Macaca mulatta: one gene and its partners. The protein of the gene in region 2 interacts with the protein of the main gene of each other region in a biochemical or structural test. Links are inferred from orthologs where the notes say so. Each region holds a gene or a part of one and is shown on either strand. Other genes may lie near its edges.

What was found.
Region 1: the proteins of MAP1LC3A (region 2) and NBR1 form a complex in vitro, tested with the Homo sapiens proteins (2 studies listed by BioGRID and IntAct). The link is inferred for Macaca mulatta from reciprocal best matches to the Homo sapiens genes MAP1LC3A and NBR1.
Region 3: the proteins of MAP1LC3A (region 2) and PHB2 form a complex in vitro, tested with the Homo sapiens proteins (2 studies listed by BioGRID). The link is inferred for Macaca mulatta from reciprocal best matches to the Homo sapiens genes MAP1LC3A and PHB2.
Region 4: the proteins of MAP1LC3A (region 2) and ATG7 form a complex in vitro, tested with the Homo sapiens proteins (2 studies listed by BioGRID, with this or other methods). The link is inferred for Macaca mulatta from reciprocal best matches to the Homo sapiens genes MAP1LC3A and ATG7.

Annotation. Positions count from the first base shown.
Region 1 is NC_133421.1:67,506,830-67,512,522, forward strand, and holds the start of NBR1 (next to BRCA1 gene 1 protein), read left to right. Parts: upstream 1-2,084; 5' UTR 2,085-2,185; exon of another isoform or gene 2,186-3,005; intron 3,006-5,693. UniProt on the Homo sapiens protein: Ubiquitin-binding autophagy adapter that participates in different processes including host defense or intracellular homeostasis.
Region 2 is NC_133415.1:87,343,390-87,348,503, reverse strand, and holds MAP1LC3A (microtubule-associated protein 1 light chain 3 alpha), read right to left. Parts: upstream 2,914-5,114; 5' UTR 2,759-2,913; coding exon 2,719-2,758; coding exon of another isoform or gene 2,698-2,718; intron 2,390-2,697; coding exon 2,334-2,389; intron 2,251-2,333; coding exon 2,144-2,250; intron 1,875-2,143; coding exon 1,712-1,874; 3' UTR 1,272-1,711; downstream 1-1,271. Other genes in the region: GPI-anchor transamidase component PIGU, read left to right, coding at 646-759. UniProt on the Homo sapiens protein: Ubiquitin-like modifier involved in formation of autophagosomal vacuoles (autophagosomes). While LC3s are involved in elongation of the phagophore membrane, the GABARAP/GATE-16 subfamily is essential for a later stage in autophagosome maturation.
Region 3 is NC_133416.1:7,941,210-7,946,928, forward strand, and holds the start of PHB2 (prohibitin-2), read right to left. Parts: upstream 3,636-5,719; 5' UTR 3,471-3,635; coding exon 3,344-3,470; intron 3,195-3,343; coding exon 3,110-3,194; intron 2,504-3,109; coding exon 2,424-2,503; intron 1,502-2,423; coding exon 1,317-1,501; intron 951-1,316; coding exon 821-950; intron 709-820; coding exon 605-708; coding exon of another isoform or gene 586-604; intron 536-585; exon of another isoform or gene 267-535; intron 179-266; coding exon 101-178; intron 1-100. Other genes in the region: EMG1 (ribosomal RNA small subunit methyltransferase NEP1), read left to right, coding at 3,851-4,018.
Region 4 is NC_133407.1:150,209,387-150,214,432, reverse strand, and holds part of ATG7 (ubiquitin-like modifier-activating enzyme ATG7), read right to left. Parts: intron 3,071-5,046; coding exon 2,955-3,070; intron 1,213-2,954; coding exon 1,137-1,212; intron 1-1,136. UniProt on the Homo sapiens protein: E1-like activating enzyme involved in the 2 ubiquitin-like systems required for cytoplasm to vacuole transport (Cvt) and autophagy.

The DNA of each region.
Region 1 (5,693 bases), on a different chromosome or scaffold from region 2:
TCCCCGTCCCAGACATATTCCTAGCACCTCTTCTTCCGCAAGGGCCCATCCTCTCATAAATACTAGCCGGTGTTTGTTTGTTTGTTTTTGAGACAGTGTTGTTCTGTCGCCGAGGCTGGAGTGCAATGGCGCGATCTAGGCTCACCGCAACCTCCGCTTCCCTGGTTCAAGCGATTCTCCTGCCTCAGCCTCCTGAGTAGCTGGCGCGCACCACCACGCCCGGGTAATTTTTGTATTTTTAGTAGAGACGGGGTTTCACCATGTTGGTCAGGCTGGTCTCGAACTCCTGACCTCGTGATCCGTCCGCCTTGGCCTCTCAAAGTGCTGGGATTACAGGCATGAGGCACCGTCCCCGGCAACCAGCTGATGTTCTTATACACATGGTGTCCCCCTCAAGGCACATTTCAGTTCCTATCCCGAGGATTCCCCCTCGGACACACGGTGCCCCCTACCTGATCCTTAGTGCTTCCCTCGCGACCTACAAATTGCCCCCTTCCCCAGGGGGTTCACAACTCCTTACGCCTCTCAGGTTCCGCGCCCCCCACCCCGCCTAAAGAATACCCATCTGCCTGCTTCGGAAGTTCACTCTCCCCCGCCTGTCCCCCGGAGCATCTCTTGGGCCCCTGTCCCTTTTCCGGGGCTCTTCTACCTTTACCCAGAGCAGAGGGTGCAGGCCTCCTGAGCCCAGGGGCCCAGTTATCTGAGAAACCCCACGGCCTGTCCCCCGTCCAGAAAGTCTCAGCGAGCTCACGCCGCTCAGTCACGTTTTTGTTTTTCCTACATTGCAGATGAGGCTCCCAGTGTTGACGTTGGCCAGGGGCTTTGCAAACAAGCCAGGCCAAAAATGTTCAACATTTACACCGGCTGCTTAAATGAGGGCATTGATCTTACTCTCCGTGACGGTCACCTCATCGTCGGGCAGAATGAAGGCAGAGTAGATGCAAGCGAGCTCGGAGACGTAGGCCATGGCGCGGGCGAGTGTGGGGCTGGGGCCGCCAGACGGGGTGCTAGTTGCCGGAAGAGGTGAGGGCCTCACCCCAACGCGGCCTTAACTTCCTCGGAAGGACCGAGCACCTTGGCGGCAGCGAGGAAAGGGGTTCCACAGTTTTAATTTACCTGTAATTCCCACGCTTTACCGTTGCCACGGAAACCGCTGAGCAACAGCCTCTCAGAATAGGAAATCAAGACACAGAGGAAGGGCGGGACAGAAAGAGCCTATCGTCTCTCGGGGCTCTGGATTGGCCACCCAGTCTGCCCCGGGTGACGTAAAAAGAAAGAGACGGAAGAGGAAGAATTTTACCTGAGTTTGCCATAAAGCGCCCGCCCTCTCGCCTTTACGCTTCCAGTTGCGACTTATTACGTCACAGTAATCGCTGTACAAAGATCAGAATCGCTACCCGAGGCCTGAATATGAGTGTAAGATAGTGTTCAAAGCAGTCGTAGGAAGAGGTCCCATTCCCCCACTCTTTCCGCCCTAATGGAGGTCTCCAGTTTAGGTAAATAAAAGGATTGTTGGGGGTGGAGGGAAAGAACTACTATTTCTAGCATGCGTTGCGGAATGAAAGGCCTTCGCCACGCTGTTCCTTGGAAACTGTAGTCTTATGGAGAGGAACATCCAATACCGAAGCGGGCACAATTCTCACGGAAATCCAGTGGATAGATTGGAGACCTCCGCGCGCTTATACATGTCAACAGTTGTGGATTGGAGTGTTGTTATGTTTTCGTATCTTGAGAGCAGAGACTAGGCCAAAGAGATACCGACAACTCCTAGAAAGACTACAATTCCCATCCAGCCCCACGAGTCTTGGGCAAGTCGTCCTGTAAGGTCAGTGACCTGCGGGGGACGCAGTAGGCGCCGAATTTGCCTAGGGAAGGGGAAATCCGCTCTGGCTCACGTCTGCGCACTCGTAGTTCCGCCCCTCGGCCCCAATGTTTGTTATTGTTGTGCGGCTTCAGGTTTCTTCTGCCCCGCCCCGTCGACGCAATCTCCACCAATCGATGGGGTGGTCGTTTTGAGGGACAAGTGGTAAGAGCCAATCATCTTGGCGAAAACTCGGCGAAACAGGGGACTAGTTACTGTCTTTATCCGCCATGTTAGATTCACCCCACAGGGATAGCGGCAGAGCTGGCAGCGGACGGTCCTTGCCTTGGCCTACGGCAGGCGCCCCCCGGGGGCGGGAAGCTGGTAAGGAAGCGGCTGAGGTTACTTAGGGGTGGGGTCACGTCACACTGAGAGGGTTTGGGGAAGTTCAAGGGAGGAATCCTGCAAAGAAGAGGGGCGACTTTTTCCGTGTCTCGGGACAGTTAATGTTTTTAGTGACAGGATGAGAGAGCCCTTCGTGTTCAGAGGGACCGAGTGGGCGAAAAGCGCCGGAGAGTTGGAGAGTCCGTGGTTCAGAACATCGGCTTCTACCTATGGAAGGCCGCGACTCCCCAGTGGAATGAGGGCCTGGGCAAAGAAAACGAGAGAAAGTCGGGGTGGTGACACTGTCTTGGGAACATTGAGTGCTATGAAACGATAGCTGGAAGACTAGGATGAACTCTGCAAGTTAAAAAATGACACTACTTACACATCCTTTTCATTCCATCCTCCTTTTTTCGAGACCTTAAAGAGATCTCCTTGGTTAGGGACCTTCGGTTTTGGAAAGGCACTGTTTTTCCTTTTTGTCAAACACCCAGCTTTTAGAGCACACTTTTTTTTTTTTTTTTTTTTTTTGAGACAGAGTCTTGCTTTCTCAGAGAAAGACCAGCCCAGGCTGGTCGTGAACTCCTGAGCTCAAGCGATCCTCCTGCCTCGGCCTTCCAAAGTGCTGGTATTACAGGCATGAGCCACCACTCCCAGCCTCAAATCACACATTTTAAAGCTTGGATAACTTGGCTTGTACAGACCTCTGGTGGAGACAGAAATCAAAGCTCAGGTTGCCAGGTCTGTTTCATTAAAGGGATTTTGTTGAGGGTGAAAAAAAAATCGACGTGGAGGAAAAGTTAACTCGTGCCAAGCAAAGGTGAGTCAGTGGCGTGGACTTACAATAATGCCAGTTATGAAAGCTGAAGGCCTAGGACCCAGCTATCTGACTATACTGGCTTTAGACCTAAGGGTGAGATAGGGTTAACCATAGCTTTGGTGTTTACACACGTTCAAGATTAACGCTCTTGCTGAAAGAATTTTTTTACATGTCAGCGAAAGAGAGTTCCTTATGAAGACCTGGATATGATCCAGCTAAGCTAGAATCTCTGACTTCCTGTTTTCTCTTAGTTGGCCCACTAGCTGGAGGAGCTCCAGAGTATCTAAATTGATTTCCAATTGTGTAATTTGAGAAAAAGAGAGGAAGATTCATTTCCTTCACAAGCAGGGAAGTGTGTTTCTTGAAGCTGGAAAGTGATGTTTCAGAATATCCACTTCTGGCAGACAGAGTTACTTCGTTTCCCTGATTTTTTGCCTAAGGTCTTGGGGAATTGACAAAGGTTCTGTTCAAATTTTAAAGACCCCAATAATTACATGTCGTATGAATGAATACTAGATGTCAGCAGGATTGTTGTTAAGAGACTAGTATTATTTTGCTGGTGAACTTGGTTCTTGGTAGAAACAAAGAATGGAGAAAATTGGGGGATAATTGTCTTAGGGTTTCAAAAAAGTGCCTGATCTTGACAGAGTTCAGGGTCCTTTAAATGACAGTCTTAATTGGAGTGTTTTACCGGGCAGTGCGTTACATTGTGGAAAACACTACAGGTTTATGGTTCTAAAGACTGGTTTATTATCTTTTAGAATGTTTAATTGAACTTAATTTTTTTAAGGAGATGGAGTCTGGCTTTGTTGCCCAGGCTGGTCTTGGAACTCCTAGGCTCATGATCCTTCTGCCTCAGCCTCCCTAAGTGCTAGGATCACCAGCATCAGCCACCACACCTAGCCAGTTTTTTATTTTATTTTATTTTTGAGACAGAGTCTAGCTCTATCACCCAGGCGGAAGTGCAGTGACATGAGCTTGGCTCACTGCAATCTTGCCTCCCAGGTTCAAGCAATTCTCCTGCCTCAGCCTCCTGAGTAGCTGGGATTACAGACCTGCGCCACTACACACAGCTAATTTTTGTATTTTTGTAGAGATGAGGTTTCACTATGTTGGCTAGGCTGGTCTCAAACTGCTGGACTCAAACGATCTGCCTGCCTCTGCTTCCCAAAGTGCTGGGATTACAGACATGAGCCACTGTGCCTGACCTTCATTATAATATTTTTTATATTTGAATGACATTTTGAAAGAACTTGTGTACACATTTTTAATTTGATCCTTATGGTAACACTGTGAGATAGGCAGAGCAGACATATTAGACCTGTTATAGATTAAAGAACTGAAGCTCAAAGGTAAATTGACCTGCTCACAGTTTTATGTCTAGTAATGGGCCAGAACTATGTCTGCAAACTAAGTCTTCCCAGTTTGTATGCTCCTCCGCCTCCCTCCCAGCCTCTGGCCCTGGCCCCACAGACCACACTGTAAATCCCTGGGACTTAATCTTGTTTCTCTCAACCTAAGCTATTTTTTCATAAAGTCATAAAAACCAATTAAACGTAACCATTTATCAGTAAACAAAATCCTTAATTAAAAACATAATGATCAGAATAGAAATTCGATTAAGGAATTGTTAACTTGTTAGACATTATAATGATATCTACACTGTTTTTTAAAAACTTCTTATCTTTTAGAGGTACATACTCAATTATTAATGGGCAAAAGGATGGATGTCTTTCAAAATAATCTAGTAGGGAAACAGTATTGCTGTAAACCTTTGGTTACAGCAAATTGGTCCTGAGTTGATAATTGTGGAAGAAGCTAGTTCATAGGTCCATAGGGATTCATTATATTCTCTCTACTTTTGTATAGATTTAAATTTTCCCATAAAAATACTTTAAAAAATAGTCTGGGTGCGGTGGCTCATGCCTGTAATCCCAGCACTTTGGGAGGCTGAGGTGGGCCAGGAGTTCGAGACCAGCCTGGCCAACATGGTGAAACCCCTTCTCTACTAAAAGTACAAAAATTAGCTGGGCGTGGTGGCACGTGCCTGTAACAGTCCCAGCTACTCCAGAGGCTGAGGCAGGAGAATCGCTTGAACAAAGGGAAGCAGAGGTTGCAGTGAGGCGAGATCATGCCACTGTATTCCAGCCTGGGTAACAGAATGAGACTCTGTCTCAAAAATATGTCTATATATTAAAAATAATAGGCCAAGCATGGTGGCTCACGCCTGTAATCACAGCACTTTGGGAGGCCAAGGCAGGCGGATCATGAGGTCAGGAGATTGAGACCATCCTGGCTAACATGGTGAAACCCCATCTCTACTAAAAATACAAAAAAATTAGCCGGGCGTGGTGGCAGGCGCCTGTAGTCCTAGCTACTCGGAAGGCTGAGGTGAGAGAATCGCTTGAACCCAGAAGGCAGAGGTTGCAGTTCGTGCCACTGCACTTGAGCCTGGGCGACAGAGCGAGACTCCATCTCAAAATAGATAAATACAATAATATAAAATAATTAGATTATTATAGTTTGGTTAAAACATTAGTTGACTACTGTCAGTTACTTGTTGGGGCAGAAGTGGGGAATGCAGGGGTATATGTCAAATGAGGATAGCCTTGAGTTGATTATTGGTTTAACTAAGTGTTTATTACTTTCCACTTTTATATATGTTTGAAATCCCCCACTTAAAAAATT
Region 2 (5,114 bases):
TGTAGGTTTTGAAAAGCTCCCTCTGGCTGCCAGGAAGAATGGGGTGGGCGTGGGTTTGAGAGCAGGGAGCCCAGGGACCAAGCTTTGCTGTTGTTTAGGAGATGACAGTGGCTCTGTCCAGAGTAGTGACTGTGGGGCTGGATCGAAAGGGTGGATTTGAGTTTAAGGGGTAGAATTGACAGGTCATGGTGGCTTGATGTATGAGAGAAGTGTCAGGGCAATTTTGTGGCCTGGGCACTTGGCTGGAAGATGGGGGCATGGGTGCCCAGTGGGAGAAGTGTATTTGACAGAGGGAAGGTGAGGAGTTTGATGTGGACCTGGCTGGGGTGGAAGTGGCTGTGGGAAGAGGGGGCAGAGGCCTCTGGCTGCACAGGCACCAGGCTGGCATTTGAGACCAAAGCCTGTGATGGAGGTGTAGACCATGGGTGGGGGCCGGGGAAGTCTGGACAGCCTCTGAGAGGCCAACAGACCTTGCAGGGTCAAGTTTGGGCCCTGAGGTGGGGGCCCTGGGCAGGGCCTCTCCAGTGATTGTGATCCAGAGCCAGGCAGGGGCTCTCCTGTCTTCCAACACATGCTAGCAGTTCAGGGATCCTGGGCTCACGGGGAGATACCCTGCAGCACCTCATATCCTCTCTCTCCCCCCAGATCCTGCTCATCTCTGATTACTTCTATGCCTTCCTGCGGCGGGAGTACTACCTCACACACGGCCTCTACTTGACCGCCAAGGACGGCACAGAGGCCATGCTTGTGCTCAAGTAGGCCTGGCTGGCACAGGGCTTTGTGGACCTCAGGGGGCTGAGGGGCCAGAAGCTGGGCCAAGCCCTCCAGTCAGAGTTGCCAGCAGGCGAGTGCTCGGGCAGAAGAGGTTCGAGTCCAGGGTCACAAGTCTCTGGTACCAAAAGAGACCCATGGCTGATAGTAAGGCCTGTGGGGAAGAACTGGAAGCTCCCCAACTTGGACCCCCCCACTTCGTGGCTCTGCACACCAAGGAGCCCCCTCCCAGGCAGGAAGGAGAAGAGGCAGGTGAGCAGGGCTTGTTAGGTTGTAGCTACTTAATAAATGTTTTTTGTTATGAAGTCTACCCTGAGACCACATCTGCATTGCACTCCTAGAGGGTTGGACCCTAATGTTCTGAACACTACACACAGGTGTGGGTTTCCAGAGCAAGCACTGAGGCCACAGAACACAAGTCTGTGCGCCAGAGCCCGGGGATGGTGCAGACAGCCCTACCAGCACCCTTCCCACTCCCAAGCAAGCAGCTGGAGGCACGGGGCCAGGCAGGCCTGAGCAATCTTTATTCTGCAGAGGGACAATGACCACAGATCCATACACCATGTGGAGACCGAGGGGCGGGGAGCCAGGGGCCAGTCTTTCAGGGGTGGGCAGGTCCAGGCGTGGGCAGAGCCTTGGGTGGGTGAGGGGCAGATGGGCAGTCAGGCAGGGGCCTAAAAAAAAGATGAACCACACAGCGGGGTGCTGGGGGCTGCTCCCAACCCTCCCCCATCCCAGCCAGCACCCAGAGGGACAACCCTAACACAACCGGCCCAGGATCCACCCAGGGGCAGAGTAGGTGGGTTGCCCTCTGACTAGGGGGGCACATGCCTGCCCAGCCCACCACGGCAGAGGCAGCTCAGTTCAGGAACCAGGAGCTCTCTGGGCAGGGCCTGACCGGGCCCCCCCCCACTCCCAGGCCGACCCCCCTACTGCTGGCTCAGAAGCCGAAGGTTTCCTGGGAGGCGTAGACCATGTAGAGGAAGCCGTCCTCGTCTTTCTCCTGCTCGTAGATGTCCGCGATGGGCGTGGACACGCTCACCATGCTGTGCTGGTTCACCAGCAGGAAGAAGGCCTGCGTGGGGTTCAGCTGCAGGCGGCGCCTGAGGCAGGCGGGAGAGTATGTGGCTGTAAGGGGCTTGGCTACGGGGCAACGTAGCCCTGACCCCCAGAATGATTCCCAGCCTTTCACACCCATCCTCACCCCACCTGTCACCTCTGACCCGGCACCGACTGCAGCCCCGACCTTGACCTTTCCAGCCGCCCCAGAACAGGGGTCCACCACCGGTCCCATCACCCCTGACCCCTTCTCGGCGGGAACCCGTCTCCCTTCCCGACCCAAGCCACCACCTGGCAGCGGCTGCCCACGCACCGGATGATCTTGACCAACTCGCTCATGTTGACATGGTCCGGGACCAGAAACTTGGTCTTGTCCAGGACGGGCAGCTGCTTCTCACCCTTGTAGCGCTCGATGATCACCTGGGAGCAGGGCGGGCGGGCAGGGGGTTGTGTCGGGGACGCGCGAGGCGGGGCCGGGGCAGGGCTGGGGGTGCAGGACTTACCGGGATTTTGCTGGGGTGCTGGTCGCGGATCTGCTGTACCTCCTTACAGCGGTCGGCTGCGGACAGCGGCCAGACCGTGAGGCCGGGTCGGCCCGGCCCAGGTCCTCCCCACGTCTCCGCCTGCCTGTCCCCAAGGGGCGGCCCCCGGCCACGCCCCAGCTCCAGCCCCCGCCCCCGGGGCCGTCAGGCCCCACAGCCCCTGGCACCTATCGTGGTGGGGAAGCAGGCAGCCCCCGCCCAGGCCGGAGCCAGCCTCCCAGCCCGAGGGTCCAGCCGAAGCCTGACGTCACGGGGCTGACGTCACCTGCGGCAGTCTGGGTCGGCCGGGCACCCCCCCTCCCCGGCACCCCTACCCCGAGCTCACAGCTCGCCTGCCGGGCCTCACCGAAGCTCCGCCGCTGCTTGAAAGGCCGGTCGGAGGGCATCGCGCGGGCCCGGCTGGGCGCGCAGGCCGGGGCTCTGGGGCGCGGAGATGTGGCTGCGGTTTGGGGGCTCCGGGGGCTCCGTGCCTCGCGCTCAAGGGCTCCGGCGCTCGCGCTGAGCACGGCGGCGGCGGCTGCGGGAGGTAACTCGCCCGGTGACGTCAGGTCACAACATTCCTTAAAGGGGAGGCCGGCGCGCAGCTCCCATTGGGCCGACGCACAACCCGCCCGCCCGGACCCGTGACGTCACGGCGCAGAGAGCCTGGGTCCCCGGCCCGGGACACGAGAGGCGGGGCTCCTGGGCGCGTCACAGTCCCGTGACGTCATGAGCAGCGCGGGAGCCTCTCCCGTGGCCCCGACTCTGGTGAGGCCGGGAGAGCGGTGGGGCCGCCCTGGGCCGATGGAGCGGGTGGGCCAGGCTGCAGCCCCGTGGCACCACTTCCTTCCCTCACCGAGTCTGTGTCAGGACTGACCCGCGGCTCTGGGCACCGTGGGAAACAGCGGGAGCCAAAGGCCCGGCGCCTTCAAGGGGGCTCAGGGCAAGAGAAGGGAGAAGGTGCGGGAGGCACAGTCAGACACAGGATAGAGCAAGACGCTAGAAATGAACGCCCAGGTTTGAAAAAGAATAATATAATTGAAGAGTAGAGCTATCGAAATTCAGGTCTCAGAGGATGTGGCAAGAAGGCAGAGCAGGACAACAGAAGAGAAATCGTGGACCTGGAGGCTGATAGCAAGCAGCTTACCAGAGGACAGGTGATGGAGAATTAAAAGGAAAAGGCCACGGATGGCAACGCCAGGAGAACTCGCAGGCCGGAGCAGAGCTCCACAGGCGAGCACTGAAAGACCTGCAGAGGCAGTTCCTGAATGAGAGCTGTCAGAAATGATGCTTAAAATCCAGAGCAGAAGGCACAGACCGAAGATCAACATCTTTTTTTTTTTTTTTTTTTGAAAGGGAGTTTCGTTCTTTCGCCAGGCTAGAGTGGTGCGATCTCAGCTCACTGCAACCTCCGCCTCCCTGGTTCAAGCGATTCTCCTGCCTCAGTCAGCCTCCTAAGGAGCTGGGATTATTAGGCGCCTGCCACCACGCCTAGCTACTTTTTATGTTTTTAGTAGAGATGGGGTTTCACCATGTTGGCCAGGATGGTCTCGATCTCCTGACCTCGTGATCCGCCCGCCTCAGCCTCCCAAAGTGCTGGGATTACAGGCGTGAGCCACTGCGCCCAGCCGCCAAAATAATTTTTAAAGAATGTACTTCAGTATCAAAGACATGGAACCCAAAAGGAAGAAATTAGATGGAAAAATGGTGAGCAAATTAGTAAACATGTCAGTAAATCTAAACAAGTATTTAATATGCAACATGAATAATGGATAATCTGTGGGCCACAGAAACAAGATGCATGAGACAGAAGAACATGGGAGACTGAGAGGGCAATCAGAGTTAAGGTGTTTTAGGAAGTTCGATTTGAGAGGGGGATAAAGAGACTAAGCATTCTCTGGCTTTGTAAAGTCAGGTGTGTATTTCAGATATTTAAGAGGGATCATCAAAAGAATACAAACTATAATGGACGCCAGAAAAGGAGAAAAAGGAAGCAAAGTAAAAGGGATGGTAAATATATAGTACAAAACCAGAGGTAGAAAATGTGGTTTACGTTCACCTCTTAAAACACAGATGACCAGATTGGCCAAGAAAAAATAAAATGCAGCTCTATGCTATTTACAAGAGGACATTTAAAATCTAAGGGCACCAAAAGTAAAATGATGGAAAAAGGTGTACTAGAGAAAAACTAACCAAAATATGTACCTATAGAAATTCACTCAGACAAAATAGGCCTTCAGGCAGAAGACATTGGGGACAAAGGATCACCATGAAATGATGCGAGTAGCTCTGTGAAGAGAGGGAAGTTCTGAACTTCTATGTTCCAGGGTTTTTAAGGCTGAAAATAGGCTGGGTGCAGTGGCTCATGCCAGTAATCCCAGCACTTTGGGAGGCCGAGGTGGGCGGATCACTTGAGGCCAGGAATTTAAGACCAGCCTGGCCAACGTGGCAAACTCTGTCTCTACTAAAAATACAAAAATTAGCCGGGCGTGGTGGTGCACGCCTGTCATCGCAACTACTCAGGTGGCTGAGGCACAAGAATTGCTTGAACCTGCTAGGCGGAGGTTGCAGTGAGCCGAGATTGCGCCACTGCCCTCCAGCCTGGGCGACAAAGCAAGACTCTGTCTATATATAGACTCTGTCTATGTTGCTCTCTCTCTCTATATATATATATGAATACAAGGAGAAATTGCCAAGTCCTCCATCATAGTGGGAGACATAAGACCTATTTGAATAACTAATAAACGGAACAACCAAAAAAAC
Region 3 (5,719 bases), on a different chromosome or scaffold from region 2:
CCCAAACAAGCAAGGTTCGAATTCCCTCACCTCAATGTGCCTTAACTGAAAGCACTTTCTCAAGGCAGCCCCATCAGAGACGCTGGGCTGACACACTCACCGTCTTGGAGATATTCTGGGCTGCTCGGATCTTGCGAAGTTTGATGTAGCCAGGGTTCTTGCTCAGTGCTTCTCCCAGGTGAGGAGGGTTAAGGTTCACACAAGGGCAGGTCTCAATCCCTAGCCCCGTCCTTACCACACTCCCTTGCTACAGTCCTCCTCTGGGCTGTCAGATCCAAGGTTGCGCTCAGGTGGCTTGTGCCCGCTCTACCTTGGACCCCACCTGTGGGCCTCCCTGCAGGCTGCTGCCAGGAACTAGGGGCAGCAGCAGAAATGAAGGCAAGGCCAGCAGTGCTATTGATCTGGCCTTACAGTGGGGAGTCAGGGCTCAGGTACCCCCGCTAAGATTTCAGATCTCATCTGTAGCCCCCACCCGCAACAAGGAGCCAAGGGCCAGAGAGCACGGAGTCGCATTCGCCTTAGTCTCATCAGCCTGCCCGTGAAGGAGGATGGGGAACTCAGGTGCCCTAGGGACTGGGCCGAGACCTCTCACGCAGAAGGATATCATCTTGGCAGCCTCGGCCTCACCCTCGGCCTGCACAATCTTCTGCCGCTGTTCCTGCTTCGCTTTTTCTACCAAGAATTGGGCCCGCTGGGCCTCCTGCTGGGCTGTAGCGGGAGAGAGTCAGGGAGACCGTGTGCTGGGTCAGGAGCCCCGTCCACCGAGTCTTTCCTCCTCCTGCATCTCGGAAGCCCTCACCCCACTGCTCGTGCGACTCACCCACTTGTTTGGCTTCTACAGCAGCTGTGTACTCTCGGCTAAAGCTCAGCTCTGTGATGGCCACGTCATCCAGGATGAGGCTGAAGTCCTTGGCCCTCTCTGTCAGCTCCCGGCGGATCAACAGGGATACCTGAGGGCAGGGGTGGGGAAGGGTGGTTTGAGGGGACTGGGTTGCGACCCCGAATCCTTCACTCTCTCAATACAATATGCGCTGCCTTAGCTTCCTGTCAGGCAAACCTATAACATAAGCCTCTCTGCTGAAAGAGGTGCAGGAAAAGCCAAGACTTGGCCATTTTCCTCTGTGCTTCCTAATACCAAGTGCTACCGAGTTCTAATGCTGGCTCTCCTTATCTCACAGTGGCAATTAGCACAGCTTTTAGGTGGAAATGGCACTAGGGTGACAATCCTCTTCTATTAAGCTGCCTTTCCTAATTCCCAGTACTCTGGGCCTAGAAGGGAAAGGCTGACACCATGCAGATGGTGGTGGGAGTCAGACCTGGGCCCGCTGGGTGATCAGCTGTGAGGCATTGAACTTGGCCACCACACTCTTGAGCACCTCGTTGACAATGGACGGCAACACTCGTTCCTCGTAGTCCAGCCCTAGGCGCTGGTACATGCTAGGAAGCTCCTGAGCATTGGGTCGAGACAGCACTCGCAGGGAGATGTTCACCATCTGTAGGTCTGAGATTGAGGTCAGCAGTGGCTGGTCAAGGCCAAACACCCTTTCCCAAGCATTTTCTCCTTCATGTTCCTCCCTATATGCCCTGTGCAATGATGTACAGCCTGGCACTGCCCTGGGGGGAGGAGAGTTAATCAGGCTGACAAGGAACACATGAGGCAGCACAGGTGAAATGCACCCTCACCCACTGTGAAGCCTGGAACTGCAACCCCGTCACCAGCAGGGCTGACTGCTCTTTCCCCCTCTGTACTCCATGCAACCTCTAATGTGGGTGCTTTCACGCTGTACCGTAATCACGTCTCCTGTAAGGACTTGGGGGACAAAAATGTTCTTAATGAATCTTGTATTCCAGGGCCCAGCAGTTTAATACATGAATAAGCCACCTGCACTAGGTATAGTACAAAGAAGTACATTACAGGTTACAGGTGACCTACCTCACCCAGGGTGTATGCGTGTGTGTGTGTGTGTGTCGGGGGGGGGGTGGGTGGGGAGGAGGAAGAGGTCTGGGGAACTCAAAGGCATGGCTTTTATGTGTGGTCTAGAAGGAGAGAATAGGTGAACTAGTCAAGGGTAGGGACAAACTTCTCCAGAACAGAGTATACTAGTGGATGTAACTGTAGATATAGTAAGTCAAGCAATTAGAAAAAAAGGCTTTAAAACAAAGCTTTGATCTAGGCAGTGAATAAGACAAGGACAAACAATACTCTTATTGAATATGTCAGGGATGAGACAGTAGAAAGCACGCAAACACAGGGTGTTCAGAATGTGCTGCTTTGACCCCGGGAGGCAGGTATTTTTGTTACAGTTCTTGCAGACATGGAAACTAAGGCCTAAAGGCCTGACACTACCATCTTCACCTGGGGTTTCTTGCCAGCTCCCTTGATCTTCCCACCTGCCATGTGATTACCAAGTGCTCAGACCTACCTTTGGAGCCTGTAGGGGAGGAGATTTTTCGAGGTCTGGCCCGAATGTCATAGATAATGGGGTACTGGAACCAGGGGATCCTGGAGGGGACAGGGATAGGTATTAAGAGGCCGCAGTTTCGGCCAGGAGCGGTGGCTCACGCTTGGAATCCCAGCACTTTGGGCGGCCGAATCATTTGAGGTCAGAAGTTCGAGACCAGCTTGACCTATATAGTGAAACCCCGTCTCTACTAAAATACAAAAATTAGTCGGGCGTGGTGGCGGGCGCCTGTAATCCCAGCTAATCGTGAGGCTGAGGCAGGAGAATCGCTTGAACCCAGGAGGCGGAGGATGCAGTGAGCCGAGATCGCGCCACTGCACTCCAGCCTGGGCGACACAGCAAAACTCCCGCGCCCCCCTCCCCCAAAAAAGCCGCAGTTTCACTAGCTTTGCCCGGTTTCCCCTCACCAGGCGTTTTTTGGCCTGCTCCTCCCCATGACCACCGACAAGGAGAGATTCTCTTGTCCCTTTCGAAAACAACAGTTCATATGCTGCTGGAGGTTCGCGCAGCACCCACTATCCTAGGAGCAGGGATGAGGAGGGAGGGAAAAGAGCAGCGTTGAATCCTGTTGCACGTCCCACTACAGCCATTGCTGGGTCGGCGTCAAGGGTGAAAGGTCAGGGTCAGTAAGCTCTGCCCGCCATTACCTGAAGTGAAGGCCCTCGGCCAGGATAGTGTCCTGCTGCACTCCACCGATCCGATTGAAGAAGATGGCTCTGTGCCCGCCTTCCACTGTGGGGAGAGGGGTGGTGATCAGGCCAGGCCGCTGCTCAGAGTAAATGCTAGCTAGGCTCGTGGTGGGGCGCGGGGACCGGTGAGATAGGGCAAGGGGTTTGGGGGAGGGACTGGAAGCGTCCGGCGAGCAGGCGAAGGTTGCTCACCAGTGAACACGGATTCGCGGACACCGTACGCCACGGCGCCGGCCCCCAGCAACAGCTTCAGCGCCGTGCCCATGCCCCGGGGCCCGGCGGGCAGCCGTCCCGCCAAGTCCTTCAAGTTCTGGGCCATGTCTGATCTTGAGGCCGGCGGCACCGGAGGTCAGAAGGGGGTGCCGGCCCGCCTCTACCCCGCTGCAGCTTAGGTACTGCACCCTTCACACGAGGGTTCGGGCCCGTAATGCTGGCGAAAGAAAGGGCACCGGAAGTGCGCTCCCTTGGAAACCCTCCCCCTTAGCCCACTACCCACCCGAACTTCGCGCACAGGAAGAGCGCATACGGAAGTCCCGCCCCTTTCTGGAGGGCTGCCCTCCCAGGGAGGGCAGCGCAAGACGGCAAGTCATCGCCATTTACAAGCCCACTTTCAAAATGGCAGCCGGAAGGAAATTTGTGATTAGAAGCCTCACTGTTCTCATTTAAGAGCGTTAGCGCAACTTCCGGTCTGGTTGCAAGATGGCCGCGCCCAGTGGTGGATTCAAGCCTCGTGAACGAAGCGGTGGGGAGCAGGCACAGGACTGGGATGCTGTGCCACCCAAGCGGCCCCGACTAGGGGCAGGAAACAAGATCGGAGGCCGTAGGCTTATTGTGGTGCTGGAAGGGGCCAGTCTGGAGACAGTCAAGGTAGTTTGGGACAGGAAGTGGATAAGTAGTAAATCAATAGACTGGGATCCGTGGAATGAGGGTGAGGGGCTCAGAGTGGATGGAGAAGGCAGAGAGGGGTGAAAGATGCTTTTGAAGGAAGATGGGTTGGTTGGCTGTGCGTTGATCTGACATCCTGGGATGGTAGTGCTCATTTTTCTTTTTCTTTTTTTTTTTTTTGAGATGGCGTTTCGCTCTGGCGCCCAGGCTGGAGTGCAGTGGCGCGATCTCGACTCACTGCAACCTCTGCCTCCCGGGTTCAAACAATTCTCCTGAATCAGCCTCTGGAGTCGTTGGGACTACAGGCACGCGCCACCATGCCCGGCTAATTTTTTGGGTTTTTTTTAGTAGAGATGGGGTTTCACTATGTTGGCCAGGCTGGTCTCGAACTCCTGACCTCAAGTGATCCGCCCGCCTCGGCCTCCCAAAGTGCTGGGATTACAGGCGTGAGGCACCGTGCCCGGCCGGTAGTACTCATTTTCTTTTGCTCTTCTTGAATGCCATTCCAGCCCTCACCTCTTTGCTTCCAACTGGTTTACCAGGATTCTGTGATACAGTAGTCTAAGGAGAGGAAAGTTTCGTTTGTTGCATCATTCCACATCCCAAGACAAGTTACTGGGCGGATGAGAAAGGTAGTTATGTAGCCTAGTCTGCCCTCCCTTTTTGTAAGGGCTTCATGTTTCAATTCATTAGTGTCCATAGTCACCTCTCTCTAATATCCACCTGGAAACACTGTCCAGACCAGGTTATTGTTTAACACTTTTACGTCTGCATTTTTATCTATCATTCATGTCTTTCTCCACACGTAATAAACAGAACCAGCAATTCTCTATCTTAAAGCCTTGGGCAATGTTCTTCCTCCTTTCTCTTACCCTTTAGAAATAATTCAATGAGTAGGCCCAGGAGAAATTGCATGGGTTTAGAAGTCAGACCAGGATTTTAGTCTTCGTTCTAAATACACTTTGTGTGTGCATGTGTGTGTGTGTGTGCGCGAAACAGAGCCTCAGTCTCTCCCAGGCTGGAGTGTAGTGGCATGATCTTGGCTTACTGCAGCCTCCGCCTCCCGGGTTCAATCGATTCTCCTGCCTCAGCCTCCAGAGTAGCTGGGATTACTGGCCTGCACCTGTAATCTATTAAAGGAATAGAAAACATGGTTATATCCTACTAATGGGTTGAAACTATTATTCATTCAAGAAGGTTTTTTCTTCTATAACTAAGGATGTCTCATGGACTTAGTTCTTCGTCATTTGTTCTTTCTTTGTGCTTACTCTGTGACATTGCTACTTCAACTATTCAATTTCAAAATCTGTATCCCTTTTTTCGCAGACTTTTTGGAGCCATGTATCTCAAGAATGTTGCTAGACATATACAAACATTCTAGTGATACATAAAAACTTAGCCTTCCAGCCGGGCGCGGTGGCTCAAGCCTGTAATCCCAGCACTTTGGGAGGCTGAGACGGGCGGATCACGAGGTCAGGAGATCGAGACCATCCTGGCTAACACGGTGAAACCCCGTCTCTACTAAAAAACACAAAAAAACTAGCCAGGCGAGGTGGCGGGGGCCTGTGGTCCCAGCTACTCCGGAGGCTGAGGCCGGAGAATGGCGTAAACCCGGGAGGCGGAGCATGCAGTGAGCTGAGATCCGGCCACTGCACTCCAGCCTGGGCGACAGAGCCAGACTCA
Region 4 (5,046 bases), on a different chromosome or scaffold from region 2:
ATGCAGGCCACGGATCTTTCGACTCACAAGACCTTTGAAAGAACATTTGTCAGACTGCCAAGTTTAGGTATGGACTGTGGCTCATCCACTAAGTCTCTGTGACCATAAAGAAGTCATTTCCCCTCTTCTGATTCTTATTCTAAACGGAATATAACAGTGCCATCCTAGCTGGCAGAAGGTGGGTGGCGAGGAGGAAGAGAGAGACAAGCATGAGCTGAGTCCCTGTGCTCTCTGCACTCGTCTGAGTCTGTCCTTGCAAATCTCCAGGTAGGACTGGCGGGCAATATCACCATTTCACTCATGGGGGCAGCTGTCACATTACAGGAGAGAATACATACGTGGAATCTAAAAAAATGATTTCCAAAATGTAAGACTGGAAAACCTCTTCAATCTCCCGAAAATATAGTAATGAAAATGACTGAAGAGGCAGTATGAATTCTAAATGTCCATCCCACTGCCTTTTTCTTTTTAATCCCTAAGGGATGGAACTTCCTCATGATACTTTGGATTCTTTTTCTGAAAAGACACCCCGCTTTCTGGTGACCCTGCATGCTTCTAGTGGTTTTCCCATGCCTGCCTATGAAGGTTCTCTACTTGGGTTCAGAATCAATAATAATAACGAACAACAGCAAAGAAACAGCAGGTATTGTTTGTTGAGAGCCTGTGATATATACTGTTGCTGAGCCCTTTCTAGCAACCATCCATAATCCAAACAACTACCAGGTGAGGTCAGTATTACTTTCTCCACATTATAGATAAGAAAACTAAGCCTCAGAGAAGTTTAGTGACTTGGCCAAGGAAGGCCATCTTAATAACGGCAGGGCTGGGATTTAAATCATTGTATGGCTGATTCCAAAGCACGTTTTTTTTCTGTTCCTATTGCATTATGAGGCCTCTAGTCAGTTTACAAAACGCATCAAAGACTCTAGGCAATGCTTCTCATTTGTGATTTCTTCCCATCACTATCCTGCAGAATGGAATACCTTCTGGGTGGTCGGAAAGTTCTCCCACTGAAATCCCAGCTGCAGGGTAAATGGGTGGATATGAAGTGGGCTGGGCAGATGGAATGGCAAAGAGACCCCACATGCCTTCCCCCTGCACCAAAAGAATTGTGATTTCACTTCCAAATCACTAACCTGGTGAGGCACGAGCCCAAGAGAGGTTGGAGGCTCATTCATCCGATCGTCACTGCTGCTGGCAATGGCATAGCCCCTGAGGACAGGAAACAATCAGAGCTGCTCATTTAATCCAAGTTTAACACATGGGAGGATGATCTAAGCAGAAGTCTACATAAGATTCATAAGGATAACTAAAATGCCCCTTGCTGGGCAGTGTAAGTTAGCAAAAAAATAATTTCCCTGGGACAAAGGGCAAGAAGAGTAATTTTAAAATGCACGGTTTGGAGTAAGAAAGACCTGAGCTTGTGACCATAGGCAAGTTGCCTAACTTCTCTGTGCTTCAGATCCATCATCTAGAAAGTAGGAATGAGGGAGCTCTGATTAATAAATGAGGAATCTACTATACCAATTGCCAGTGCAATGTTTGGCATATCAGAGGCCAATAAACATTAACTCACTTACTATGAAATAGTCTTATCAAACATCACAGAACATTTCTGCACTGAAAATTTGAAGAGGAAAATTTTCTAACCTTAACTTCTTGAGCTGATATAAATGGTAATGAAATGCAGGAAATAAAAGTGAAGAATGAATTGGGCAAAACTAATGCACTACTCTCTGAACAATGGAGTGATACTTCTGTCACCAAAGAGACGTGACACAGGACCTGGTGTTTAAACTATGACCAGGGCAAATGTGGCAGACGGATGGTCAGCGTCAAGGAAGCAGAAAGTCAGCTCTCAAAGATTTTGTCCCAAATACTTCCTGTCAGAGAATGGCAATAAACTTAAATGACAGATAGCTAAGGTGGATGACAAAGAGGAAGACAAAAAAGTCCTGCTTTTCGTTTATCTCAGAGTACCCATACTAGTTACCTATACAGTCACAATTTTCAACTGCTGAGGAAAGCTTTGAGTCACACAATAAATAGAATATTCATGTTAATTTGCATATTGACTTTCTGAGAATTGGAAAAATAAATCTTTCAAAAATTCAATTTTCTGCTGCCTGTACTGCAAACAACATAACAAAGTGATTAAACATAGTTTGGAGCCACATTGAGCTAAACGCTGGCTTTTCCATTTACTATGTTAATTTGGCCACTTACTTATCCTCACTGTGCCTTGATTTCCCCATCAAAACCGGGACTAATAATAATAGTTCTTTCCTAACAGGTTTGCTATGAAGATTAAAGGAGGCCAGGTGCAATGGCTCACGCCTGTAATCCCAGCACTTTGGGAGGCCAAGGCGGGTGGATCACCTCTGATCACTGAGGTCGGAGGTTCAAGACCAGCCTGACCAACATGGCAAAACCCCGTCTCTACTAAAAATACAAAAATTAGCCGGGCATGGTGGCGTATGCCTGTAATCCCAGTTACTTGGGAGGCTGAGGCAGGAGAATCACTTGAACCCAGAAGGCAGAGGATGCAGTGAGCCAAAATCGTGCCATTGCACTCACTCCAGCCTGGGCAACAACAGCAAAATTCTGTCTCATTAAAAAAATAATAATTAAAAAAAAAAAAGATTGAAGGAGGCAATATTTCTGAAGTGCTTAGACCAGTGCCTAGCACAAAGTAAGCCCTATATAAGCGTTGAAAAAATAAAATAAACCATAATTTGTCCAAAAGGATGCAGAAATGTGGCCACAAAGGAAACGTGCCAAGTTATCTCAGCCCAAAGAACCAGACCTGCTTTTTCTAGTCTTGTGTTTTTGAGGGTAGATAAAGTAGTGAAATTCTCTGAAAAGTCAGACTGAGAAAAGGCTACAGGAGACATTGATGAATGACTGCCTACAAAAGCTTTGTTTAAATGCTCATCTCCCACTAGCAAACTCACCCTTCTGGATGCTGCAAAACAGATACCATCAATTCCACGGCCAGGGCTCCTGCAATCATGGCCAATCCTGGACGACTCACAGTGCACTGCTGGTCCAAGGTCCGGTCTCTGGTTGACTGCAAAGAAACAATCATTGGTGTGTGCTGAATGTTCTATTCCATTCAACTCTAGCTGTCTCAAATATGAAATCCTCTGTGACAAAGCTTTAAATTATAACCAGATGCTCATTGTTAGCAAAGAACATCCAGCCTCAAGTACATCATTTCTTGAGATTATCAAGAAAACAAAATACACAATTTAGGTAACTAAATGAGGTAATATGCTAAAAAGGATCAGCAGCTTAAACAGATTGGGGGATATCAACCAAAAATGAGGGCTTAGCTGCCTCATATAAAGGAACTGCATCATGTGTTCCTTTATGTGACTCAATTCAGTTCTGTGCTTGGTAGTTAAGTGACAGAGACACAGAAAGGAACAATGATTAGAATAGTGCAAATGATTCTGCCCTGCCATTTTAACTAACACCTCAAAGTGACCGTGAGATGGGAGCAATAATTTACTATTATTGCAGCCCTCAGTTCCAATGTTCCTCTCACAACATGGGCATCACCTCTCTGGGTGATTCTAGGGTTTACTACAAGTATTTTTTTTTTTTTTTCCTACAACATGGCTGTGAACACAAGCCTTTGCTGGTTCAACCAAAGAGAGTCTAACCATCCCACTCTGGGCAAATTAAAGAGGTTGTCAGGAATATTTTTGACTCTATGAAAATTTTACCTTATGAGCAAATGGGACTTTACTGCAAGGGACCACTAATCGTATTTGTTGACAATAACTAAATAACAAGACCAGCTGTATATTATAACACCATGACAGAGATCATCAAGCCATCCTTCTTCATATAAGAGAATGGTCATCTTCTTTTCTTTATATTGGGAGGACATAAAAGCCAGTCATCCAAAGGAGATATGAGTTATTAAGTGAAAAATTTTAAAACAAAGGAAAAATAGAGGGGAGGTTAGAGAAAACATCTCTGCATTGCCTCACTGGAAATTTTGTATCTGTTCTGATAAAGGAACAGCCCTACAGACAGACAGACTTGTGTGAAGTTCTGAAAGCCATAGAATCTTAATTTGTACAGTGTAGTCTTGCTGTTCAAAGCACTGTCGCACTTGACCCACTGAATTGTGAGTTGACAGGGCAAGTATTCTTCCCTCCCCTATTAGCATTGCCAGGGAGAATACAGGACACTCAGTTAAATTTGAATTTCAGATAAATAAATTTTTAGTATAAGTGGGTCTTGAATATTGCATGGAACATATACTAAAAAATTATTCATTATTGGCCCGGCATGGTGGCTCACGCCTGTAATGCCAGCACTTTGGGAGACCAAGGCAGGGGGATCACAAGGTCAGGAGTTTGAGACCAGCCAGACCAACATGGTGAAACTCCATCTCTACTAAAAATACAAAAATTAGCTGGGCGTGGTGGCACGTGCCTGTAGTCTCAGCTACTCAGGAGGCTGAGGCAGAAGAATCACTTGAACCCAGGAGGCAGAGGTTGCAGTGAGCCGAGATCGTTCCACTGCACTCAAGCCTCGGTGACAGAGCGAGACTGTCTCAAAAAAAAAAAAAAAAATTCATTATTAACTGAAATTCAAAGTTAGCTGGGAATCCTGTATTTTTACTTACTAAATCTGACAAGCCTACACACCAGTCCTATTTTGCAGAGGCAGAGGGAACCTAAGAGACTTTTTGGAATTACCTGGGAGGCAGTGTCAAGGCATTGATGGAATCTGATCTTTAGACTCCTAATTTGTAATGTTGTCTTGACTAAAAGAAGCACAGGAGACAATACTGAGTGCTACCAGGGATTAGTCTGCTGTGGTTTCCTCAATAAGCTTTCCAAAAATAGGGTTTGTAGCCGTGTTTATATTGGTGAACAAGGAACAGCTGTACAGTTGATGACGCCAGTCAAGGTTCATAATGAGATAATGCCATCCTCCCCAAATTGGAGAATTCTTCTCTTTGTTAAAAGATAATATTTAAATAGTCATAAATGAAAGGGCCGAGTCTGTCTGCCTCAGCGCACA